Caenorhabditis elegans: one gene and its partner. The protein of the gene in region 2 purifies or fractionates together with the protein of the main gene of each other region. This does not show direct contact. Each region holds a gene or a part of one and is shown on either strand. Other genes may lie near its edges.

Evidence for each region.
Region 1: the proteins of grwd-1 (region 2) and rpac-40 fractionate together in Caenorhabditis elegans (co-fractionation; one large-scale study listed by BioGRID). This does not show direct contact.

Annotation. Positions count from the first base shown.
Region 1 is NC_003283.11:4,197,398-4,204,273, reverse strand, and holds rpac-40 (DNA-directed RNA polymerases I and III subunit RPAC1), read right to left. Parts: upstream 4,790-6,876; 5' UTR 4,784-4,789; coding exon 4,700-4,783; intron 3,981-4,699; coding exon 3,301-3,980; intron 2,258-3,300; coding exon 2,154-2,257; intron 2,102-2,153; coding exon 1,985-2,101; intron 831-1,984; coding exon 715-830; 3' UTR 578-714; downstream 1-577. Other genes in the region: algn-5 (dolichyl-phosphate beta-glucosyltransferase), read right to left, coding at 5,182-5,214, 5,861-6,049.
Region 2 is NC_003281.10:5,151,481-5,156,108, reverse strand, and holds grwd-1 (Glutamate-rich WD repeat-containing protein 1), read right to left. Parts: upstream 2,646-4,628; 5' UTR 2,564-2,645; coding exon 2,441-2,563; intron 2,395-2,440; coding exon 2,301-2,394; intron 2,253-2,300; coding exon 2,095-2,252; intron 1,956-2,094; coding exon 1,505-1,955; intron 1,329-1,504; coding exon 793-1,328; 3' UTR 673-792; downstream 1-672. Other genes in the region: putative cytosolic Fe-S cluster assembly factor oxy-4, read left to right, coding at 39-144, 190-577; rbm-42 (RNA-binding protein 42), read left to right, coding at 2,982-3,010, 3,061-3,364, 3,493-4,068.

The DNA of each region.
Region 1 (6,876 bases), on a different chromosome or scaffold from region 2:
AAAAAATTGTTTTAAAAAAAATTACTTAAAATTTTGGTATTTTTTAGAAATTATATAATTCGACAAAATATTGAATTTTTGCTAGTTTTCTAAAAACAATCGTTTTTTTTTCAATTTTCTGAAAAAAATTCGAAAACTGCCCCGTTTTTCCAGTATTTCGAAAAAGGATATTTTTTAGAACAAAATTGATTTTTCTTTTTTTCTGCAAAGAAAAGATTTTTCGCTTTTTCGATTTTCCGGAAAACCGAAAATGTTAGTTTTACAATTTTTTATTCAAATTTTGGTTTTTTTTTTTAATTTTTTGAAGAAAATTATATTTTTTCATCAGGATAGACAAAAATTGATGATTTTTAAAGTTTTGTTTCTAATTTTTCTGAAAATCGAAAAGAATTCGTTTTCCAATATTTTGAGAAAATAGCTCAAAATTTTGGAGTTTTTCCATTTTTTAATAATTTTTTTCTGAAAAAACCGAAAAAATGAATGATTTTTCTATGAACCTGTTAAAAAACTACAAAAAAAACAAATAAAAAATGGAAATTTCAACCATTTGGCCAACTAGGAGATATTTGAAGGTAAAAAAGCCACGAAAATTCATTCAAATTAAGAAAAAAGAAAGTGACGGAACAGTGTAACAACTTGAGGGGTAGTCAAACAACAACAAAAAAAAAGGATAACGAATAAAAAAATAGTAACAAAATTTCAAAAAAACGGGGATTATTGAATAAGAGCCTCGATTTGTTTGCGAAGAGAACGACACTTGATTTCCATGACTTTACAGGCTTCAACCACCAATTCAGACGATTTCAGAGCTCCAGTCGACTCTACACTGACTGAAAAAAAAACTAAAATTGCCGGAATTCAAAATTTCCGGCAAATCGGCAAACCGGCAAATTGCCAATTTGCCGAATTTGCCGGTAAAAATTGTGAAAAATTTTTTGTGTGTTTTTTTTTCAGTTTAAAAAAAAAGAAATTTGAAATTTTGGCAATTTTTTTAAATGGTTTTTTGGTTTTTTTTTGTATTTTTGAAGAAATTTTCATTTTTCTCATTGAAATATAATTTATTTTTAAATAAGTTTATAGTTTTTCCCTCTTTTTTCCTACGTTTTTTTCGGTTTTTTTTTTATATTTAAAAAAAATCGACTTTCTCAACCAAAAAAATTAGAAAACTTGGGAAAAATCGAAAAATTTCTGACGACGAAATTTTGTGTTTTTTTTTCGTTAAATTTTTTTTTCTCATCAGTTTCGATAAAATTGATTTATGGGGTTATTCAAGTAGTGTCGGAAAATTAAAAAGTGTAAAAAAATTTTTGCGAAAAAAAAAAAAAATTGCTACATTACTTGAATAACCCCATTAGAAAAAATCATATTTAATGGTTAATTTTAACCGATTTTTACTAATTTTCCACAAAAATTCGGGCCCTTGAAAAGTAGAAAATTTAGGATTTTTGTAATTTTATCGGAAAAAAGTTCGAAAAAATGGGTTTTTTTTGTGAATTTTTCAGAATTTTTCGAATTTTCCCCAGTTTCTGCTCAATTTTAATTTTCTGAACATTTTTTTTAAAAATTTTTTCGTTTTTTTTAAGTTCGAAAACTCAAAAATTTTCTTTTCCCAATTTCCAATTTTTCAACTTTTCGTTTTAAAAATTTTTTCAAAAAAAAAATCGAAAAACGGCACGTCTGTACCATGTTTCTGGCGAAAATTCTTTTTTTTTCGAAAAAAAAAGCGAAAAAAAATATATAAAAACTCCGGCTCCAAAAAAAATTACTTATACATTTTCCAAAAAAACCACTCTCAAAATTAAAAAAAAGAGTTAAAATTTGGCAAAAATATTTAAAATTTTCAAAATAAGGTTTCAAACTTTAACAAAATTGGGGTTTGTTTTTCGACAACTTTTCGTGTATTTTTTTTTGGAAAAAAAACCAAAAAAATGCGAAAAATTCATGAATTTCAGTTTTTTTTTTCGAATTCAGCCCTGCCACTAACAAATGAAATGCTGTTTGTTCTTTCCCAATTGAACAACTTTCGACAGATCTTCGTGGCGGAACACGTTACGACTGCACGTATCCTTGCGAGCATCCTTGACAACAGCAATTCGTTTGGCTGAAATTTTAAAAAAATTGGTGTGTTTCCTAAAAATTGATTTATGATCTACCTCCTTTCTTCTCGATAGCAATAACTCCCTCGCTGAATACTGATTTGAGACGTTCGGCAGCTTCACCCGAAATTTCGGCGTTCAAGCGGATCGTTGGAAGCAGTCTGGAATGAAAAGAAATTTTTTGAAAAATTGGAAGAATTTGAAGGTCAAATTGGCAAACCGGCAAACCGGCAAATTGTGTTTTTGCACATTTTTTTTGGAAATTTCAGATTTTCAATTTCAATCGGCTAAATTGTACGCATCCTATAAATGTTCCTACATGTATTTTGAAAAGTAGGCAAATTCTATGAAAATTTCCGGCAAACCGGCAAATCGTCAATTTGTCAAAAATGAAAATTCCGGCAAATCGGTAAACCGGCAAATTGCAGAAAATGAAAATTCCGGCAAATCGGTAAACCGGCAATTAACCGAAATCGAAGTTTCCGGCAAATCGTCAAACTGGCAAATTGCCGAAAAAGAAAATTTCCGGCAAATCGACAAATCGGCAAATTGCTGAAAATGAAAATTTCCAGCAAATCGCCGAAAATGAAAATTTCCGGCAAATCGACAAATCGGCAAATTGCTGAAAATGAAAATTTCCAGCAAATCGCCGAAAATGAAAATTTCCGGCAAATCGACAAATCGGCAAATTGCTGAAAATGAAAATTTCCAGCAAATCGCCGAAAATGAAAATTTCCGGCAAATCGCCGAAAATGAAAATTGCCGAAAATAAAAAAAAATTGGCAATTTGTCAAATTTGTCGACAAAAAAATTCACCTCTGGCTTGAAATTTTCGAACTTTTTTTTCCACAAAATTACAGAAAACAGTCTAAATATACTGAATATAGGTAGATGTACAAAAATTATTTAACTTCCCCAAAATATCTCGTAGCGAAAACTACAGTAACTCTTTAAAAGCTACAGTAGTCATTTAAAGAATTACTGTAGTTTTCGCTACGAGATATTTTGCGCGTCAAAAATTTTGTGTAATACGCATTCTCAGAATTTGGGGTCCCGTAAAACCGAAAATATATTATATGAATTATAATTTTTTTCCCCCCAATTTTTCACTTTTTCCGAGAAAATCGAAAAACGAAAAATTTTCAATTTTCCGGAAAACCGCAAAAATCAAAAGAAAATATTTCAGCAGCTTCAAAATTCACACCTATAGGACGCAGTAGCAACCGGTGAGAACTTTGCATGATCCCGTCCGATTCCCTTGACCGCATGGCAACTGGCTTCAATTTCCTGTCCAGGACGAAGCTTGGCAACGAGAATATCATCAGAAACCATACGTGGATGGGCTTCTTCGGTGAATTGCGTCTTCTGATCAGCAATCGGTACCCATTCAAAAGCACGTGAGTAGACCGAGCTATTGTGATAAAGCTGCTTCGGATCGGTAGCCGTCGGCACCGCATTTCGATTCTTCGTACACGAAACATTAATCTTGAAGATCAAATTTTTCGCGGGATCTCCCTCGGGCTCCTCGTCACAATCCACTCCCTTCTCATTGATTCCAACGACTTTTTCCTTTGGAAACTGAAATCCACGTGGATCCACACGAAGCGGCAGAAGACCCAAACGATGGCAGAGTACTTCATCTTGAATTACAGAAGTATTCTGATAGAGATAAATCTTCTCGAGAGCCATCGTTGGCACTTCGGCGATGAGCACACGGCGAAGAGCATTTGCAATTGGAGCTTCAATGCGAGTAATATCAAATTCCAATGTCATTCCATCGTCGGATTCATTGACCATTGCCACTTGGATTTGATCGCAATACTCGTTGATATCGAATTGTTTTGTATCGTCGTATTCGACATAATCGGTGCATTCGTCGTAGGTCTGGAATTGAAGAAGAATTTTTGGAAAATTTAAAAAAATAAAAATTTCGGCCGAAAAGCAAAAAATCGAATTTCTTCAAAAAAAAAAAACAAAAAAAAATATTGACCAGAAATGTCGGTTTTTTGGTTTTTTTTTCCTTTTTTTTTTGAGACGAAAAAATTGGCAAAAAAATTTTCCCGTGGTGGAGAGTTGAACTCAAACTGCTGCGAGTGAATATAAGCATTGACTCCATCTTCGATTTGCTGTTCAAGCGTGGGCGTTTTTAGCTTCTTGCTCTTCGGTCCGGAGGACATCGCGACAACGACGTTACGCGTGGTGAAAAATACACGCAATCCGCTTTTTTTTTGTTCATTTTTTCTTTGGTTTGTGTTTTTTTTTTCCAAAAAGTTGAAAAAATCGAAAGTTAATTTTTTCTTGGTTTATCTCACAATTTTAAATTTTTTCAATTTTTTTTGAAAAAAAGTAATCTTTCACTAATTTCCGGCAGTTGATAAATCGCCGCCTTTTTTCGTAAATTTGTATAACAATTTTTTTCGGAAAAATAACGATTTTCAATAAAAAATTGGAATTTTTTAAAATTTTTCTGGACGAAATTTTAAAAAAATACGGAAAATGCTTTTGCCGCCTGATTTCCTAACGAGACCCAACGTTTGGGGGCGGAGCGCTCTCGTTTCCCAATGGAGCGCGATTGCATCCTTGAAATATTCAAAAAATCCTACATTGAGCACAACTTCCTCTTTCATCTCGATCTCATCACTGTGATAGGTAGCCTGCTTGCTAGTTGCCGCCGCTTTTTTGACCATTTTTGCCTGGAAATTTTTTGATTTTTTTCGCCTGAAAACTCTATGGAAAGATATAAAATCGCTGGGAAAACGAAAAAAAAAACAAAAAAATGGAAAAAAACATTTAAATCGATATTTTTTTGAATTTAGCATTAAAAATAAACCCAGAGTCCCCAGAACAAGAGAGAAAAAAAAGAAAAACCAACAAGTAAATAAATAAATAATAAAAATGCGAAAAGAAAAAAGAATAGAATCACATTTTCAAGGAATCATGGATATTTACAACCAGCCATAAATTGGAAAAAAAATCAGGAAAAAGCAGGGAAAAAAAGTGATTAAAGCATAGATATTACTAGAAGAAAAAGGAAATTTTTGGGCAAGATTTTTTGAAAATCTCGTATCGATTTTTTGTGGAGCATTTAGCGAGGCTGGTCATCCGTCCAAATTCCGATCTGAAAATAAAATTTTAATGTCAAAAATATTGTCAGGTCGCTCTACCGCACACGAAAATGGCGGGAAAATATTTTTTGAAAATTTGTGACGTCACACAGCGCATTTTGAATAATTGCTTTTGTTCAATTTAAGCGCCGATTTTCGTGAAATTTTTTTAAAAACTGGCTCATTTTAATTTATAAAATTTGATATTTTACAAAAATTCTAAAATTTAGTGGAGAAATTGAAGCAAAATACAATAAAAATGAATAATTTCAATTTAAACAAAAATTTATTTGGAAAATCATTTTTAAAAAATTCACGGAAACTTGGTAAATGAACGGTTTAAATGGTTTTTCGAAAAAAAAAATTCGTTTCAATTGAAATTATTCATTTTTATTGTGTATTTTGCTTCAATTTTTCCACTAAATTTTAAGAATTTTGGTAAAATATCAAATTTTATAAATTAAAATGAGAAAGATATTATTTATTTATTTTTTTTTTAAGTTTGACAAAAATCGGCGCTTAAAATTAAGAAAATTATTCAAGATACGCTGTGACGTCACAAATTAAAAAAAAAATATTTTCCCGCCATTTTCGTGTGCAGTAGAGCGATGGGACATCCTGACACCACTTCAAAAAAGGCCTAAAAAACTGCAATTTTACCGTATATCTGAACCAAATGAGCACAAGATCTCGGCCCATTTGAAGCCAAGACCAAATTGGAGTAATCTTAGACCCTTCGATTTCAGTCCATCGAACTGAAACTTCTTTCACAGGGACCGTCCATCTTTCGCAAAGGAAGATGAGCTCAACGTCAAAAGCCCAGCGCTCAATGTGAAGTACTGGGAAAATCTGAAAAAAAAACGTTTTTTTTTTTTGGTTTTTTTTACTTTAATTTGACGAATTTTAGCTAAAATCTTAAATCAGGAATTGAAAATTTTCGGCAAATCGGCAATTTGCCGGAATTGAAAATTTCAGGAAAATCAGCAATTTGCCGGAATTGAAATATCCGGTAAATTGACAAATTGCCGTTATTGAAAATTTCCGGCAAATCGACAAATCGGCAAATTTCCGGAATTGAAAATTTCCGGCAAATCGGCAAACTTCCGGAATTGAAAATTTCCGGCAAATCAGCAAATTGCCGGAATTGAAAATTTCTGGCAAATCGGCAAATTGCCGGAATTGAAAATTTCCGGCAAATCGGCAAACTTCCGGAATTGAAAATTTCCGGCAAATCGGCAAATTGCCGGAATTGAAATTTCCGGCAAATCGGCAATTTTGCTGAATTTAAAATTTCAGGAAAAATGGCAAACCGACAAATTGTCGATTTGACGAATTCGCCTGAAACACGGCAATTGCCGAAAATTTTCGGCAAATTGTGGTTTTGCACATTTTTGGAAATTTCAGAGGTTAAGAAAAATCCCTGTAAAAACTTGCGGCAAATTGGAATCCGGCAATTTTCGAGAATTTAAAATTTCCGGCAAATCGGCAAACCGGCAACTTGCCGACTTGCCGAATTTGTCGACAAAAAAGTCTGCCAATTTTTTAAACATTTTCTCCCAAAAAGAAAAAAAAATTCGAACATATATATATATATATAATAGTCGATTTCCGACCACTACGACCCCAAAAAGTAGGCCAAAATTGGAGATTTTTAGCTAAAAATAAGCTAAAATCTC
Region 2 (4,628 bases):
AGATGCCTCCCTTAAAACACAATACTGAAATGTTTCAGGATCTGTTATTGGTGACGATGGTGGTGCTTCTGGAGGATATGCTGATCGAATTGTTCGAGATTTCGTGCTGGAAAATGGAGGAGGAATTGTAAAAACATCAAAACTGTAGGAATAAATAACTTTAAATAATGTAATATTTCATTTTTTCAGAAACAAGAACATGTTCTCCACGACTGTAGAATCCGAAGCTGGAGAAATTCTTTTAAGAGTTGCCAAGGTTTACGGGTTTCGAAATGTGCAGAATCTGGTTCGAAAAATGAAGACGAAAAAGGAGAAGACAGATTACGTGGAAATTATGGCTTGTCCGGGTGGATGTGCAAATGGTGGAGGTCAGATTCGGTACGAGACAATGGATGAGAGAGAAGAGAAATTGATTAAAGTCGAGGCATTATATGAAGATTTACCCAGACAAGATGATGAAGAAACCTGGATAAAAGTTCGAGAGGAATGGGAGAAACTTGATAAAAACTACCGTAATCTTCTGTTTACGGACTATAGGCCCGTTGAGACGAATGTTGCTCAAGTCTTGAAATGGTGAATTTTCTTGTTATATTTTGTGATACATTCCCAGTCCCTAATTTTTTAGATTCTATAGAATAAAATGTTTTTTTTTGTTTTTCAACGAAAACGCGACATTTTTAAAGCATTTTTTGGTTAACAGAAAAGTTACGAAAAAAAATGAACAGTAACAATGTTGAATAGATGAGAAAAACAGCAACAAAAACAAACAGGGAGCAATAACAGGGAGACATCTTAAATATTAATAGTCTTGAAGACATTAAATCCATCAATTGAAGTGTTGATAGCCAATCCAGGAATCTGTTGATGCCAGTGAACTTCTTTGACCTCATTCTGACCCATATGGACGAACATCAGCTGTGGTGGAACTCCTTCGATATTCGTTTGTCCATCTGCTTCAGTTGCAATATCCCAAATTGTTGTCTGATCGTCTTCACCGGAAGCCATAAATGTCGTTGTTTCATGTGGATGCCAGTCGACTGAAGTGATTGGTGAATTGTGATACTTGAAGAGTGCCACTGGTTGACCGAATTGGATTGTTTTCAAAGACCAAATTTTCAGCTCTCCGTCATCACCACCAGAAACAATGAGGTTTTCGTGACGATTCCACGAAATAACATTAACATCGGATTCATGAGCTTTTTGCACTGTACAGACGCAGGCATCTTTTGGAGCAGAACGTGTATCCCATAGTTTGATACTTCCATCCGCGGAACATGAAGCAAGAAGTCCAGTTTCAGTTGGTGACCATGCAAGATCTTCGACACTCTCTGAAAAATATTGGAATATGTACTGAAAAATGCTCAAAAATTTTTATGCGACAAAGACAAGTTTTTAATTCAGATTTTTGTTTTTTTCCAATCTATTCAAGAAAAAACCACTCAAACGCCATTCAGGAGACACATTTCAATTTTTGGAATTTTCAGATCAAAATTAAATAAATTACTTTTATGTCCAGTTAATGGATTAGCTCCAACAGCCCATTGTCCTCCTTCCTTCATTTGCCACAAATAAATCTTTTTGATGATATCACCAGTAGCCAAGTCTCCAGTTTTTAATGAAGACCAAGCAAGTCCATATCCTTCTTTTCCAGATCCATTATTCGTGAACAAGGGTCGATCGATCTTTTGCACTTCAGTCTTCGACTCTCCGCTCATTCCATGAGTATAATTCAATGCATCAGTGATATTCCACACCTGGACACGTCCTTGATCACTCCAGCAAGCACATACAGTACTGTCACCAAGACGATCGGAACGAATTCGGTTAATACCACCATAGTGAGGAATCGAAACAGCGTGCATTTTTGGTTCTCTTTTCTTCTCTTCTTCGGCATCTTCATCTTCGGATTCGTCTTCAGAGGTGTCACTGTCGTCGCCTTTGTTTTCTTTTTCTTTCTGAAATACTCACTTTTATTGTAGAGATATCCTTGTTTTTTTTAGTTTAACAATTGTGTTACTGAGCTTAAAACTAAACGTTGGCCGGAATTTCAATTTCATAACAGGTAAATAATAAAAAAGTTTGAAACCGACTAACCCTCATCGTTGTAAGATTCTTCAATCCCATCACAATGATTTCGTTATCCCTTGGCTTATCGGCTTGAGTTCCACTGACAATATAACATTCGGCAGGGAATTGTGTTCTGTTCTCGCCCAAACCATCTTTAACAACGTCAAACGACAAGCATGGCCAATCTAAATCATAAAATATAAATATTTTAGAAACAATTTCGTTTGAATCACCAGAATTGAAACTATGAAATAGTTTGTAAGCACTAGGGTCAAAATCCAATTCTTCTCCTTTTTTCAATGGCCGGCTGAGGCCTGGAATGTAAGCCTGCAATTTTAACAATTAGAAGTATTGTACGAAATTTCTAGCTCACTTGTCTCTGATTCTCCGGTACTTCCTCGTCTTCATCATCAGTTTCATCAACTTCCTCTTCAGACTCGTCTATATCCTCCACTGGATCCTCATCATGCATTTCAACGTCATTTTCACCGGACATTTTCTGCAGATACAGAATATATCTCTTAAGAAATGTTAGAAAAAGCGGATGAGGTAATATTTGGAACTTCAGAGGGTGTTTTCTTAAATTTTAAAACAATTATGAGCACAAAACTACTAGTAAAGCGTGAAAATTGGGAGGATAAAAAAAATAAATAGGAAAACAGAAAAAATTTTAGAGTACGCAAAAGTGCGTCGTCTCTGGCTTATTTCATGCGGTGTTTGCGTACTCTTAATATTTTTATCAATTTTTTAATGTTTTTCGAAACAAAAGCTATTTTCCTTTTATTTGTATTCATTTATGTGTTAAAGATAATAATATTAAATATTAATATTTTTTGATTTATCTGTCGCAAAGTTTCTGTACTTTCTGACTATATTTAGACTTATTTTCAGCCTGAAACGCTCACCCTTCAACAATGGCCAACTTGGATGATGAACTGGCTTTGTAAGTTGATTCTTCCTATATTTATTATCAAACAAATTATATTATTTTAGATTTGAAAGCGAGTTAGCCGAACTTGAACAAGCGAGTAGCAATTCGGAGGAGCCAGCAAGCTCTCAAACGCATGTTGGCTACGATAATGCAACAATTTCGGCAGGACCAACTACTTCCGAGTCATCAGCAGCTACTTCTAGTGCTCAAGTTATTCAACCATCACTTTTGGCAGCGCCTCCGTTTATTCCGATAGCTGCCACAATTGCAGTTTCTCCATTTATCAACCCGGCACTTGGGAGGCTTCCAACAATGCCTCCAGTTCCACCTTCAATTTTCATGCCTCCACAATTAAGAGCTGCACCGGTTAGTTTTGATTTTCCGTTGACTTAAAAAATATCCTTATTTTATGAATAAAGCCATAAATTTTTGAGAGAAAAGTTAAAAATTGAAGTTATGTGAATATTACTCTCAATTGAATATTAAATTTACAGATAATGTTCCCTCCTCGAGTACTCGGAATTCCGGCTCCTGCAACTATTGAAGGTGCTCCAGCATTATATGAAACACCTGCAGTAAACGCAATTCCACAAGAACTTCTGCGAACTCAAGCTCTTCAATCAGATATTGATAAGATGAATTTCAAAAAGCAAACCGATCCATTTAAGAAGAAAATCAAGGAACAACAAGCGAAAAAGAAGTTTGTGAGATCCGGTGGTGGTCAGGTTTGGGAAGATCCATCTCTTGCCGAATGGGATGAAAATGATTTTCGAGTTTTCTGTGGAGATCTGGGAAATGAAGTGTCGGATGAACTTCTTGCAAAGGCTTTTCGAAAATACCCAAGTTTCCAAAAAGCCAAAGTTGTCAGAGAATCACGAACAAATAAGAGTAAAGGATATGGATTCGTTTCATTCAGAGATTCGGAGGATTATGTGAGAGCTATGCGTGAAATGGACGGAAAATATGTTGGAAATCGACCGATTAAATTGAGAAAATCGGCATGGAAGGAGCGTAATATTGATGTTATCAAGCAAAAGAGAAAGCAAAAGAAAGAACTTGGAATTTTGTAAATCGATTCGTTTTTCTACATTTTTTTCTGTAATTTATTCATTTATACCCCAATACTTTCATTGTACCCCTTATTTTCCTGTCATCGTATTTTTATTCATTTTTCTTTTCAATATATAAAAGTCTGAATTGAGATATTTATCGTTATTTGAGTATCAGGAGCACTGTTGCATGTCCAGTGCAAAATATACCTCTACTGTCATTTTAGAACATTACATTTTTGAGTTTTTTCTTTTCAATTCATATTTAAGAAAGGCTGAAATCTTTTGAAAACTTCAAATTTTGAGGGAACAATACCGTATCCGGTCTCGACACGATACATTTTTGTTAAATTCGAAATGCTGTGCGCCTTTAAAGAGTACTGTAATTAAAAAATTTCGTTGTAGTTCAATTTCTAACGATTCTTTGAAGTTGTTTGATAAAAATATATCTACTAATCAAAAACTTCAGTAAAGCATAAATTTTAACAATAACTAACAAAAAATTCTTGTCGAGACGGAGTACTGTATATTTAGCGCACAAAACGAGAATTTTCGTGTCTGTGTTTCAAAAATGTTCTTCC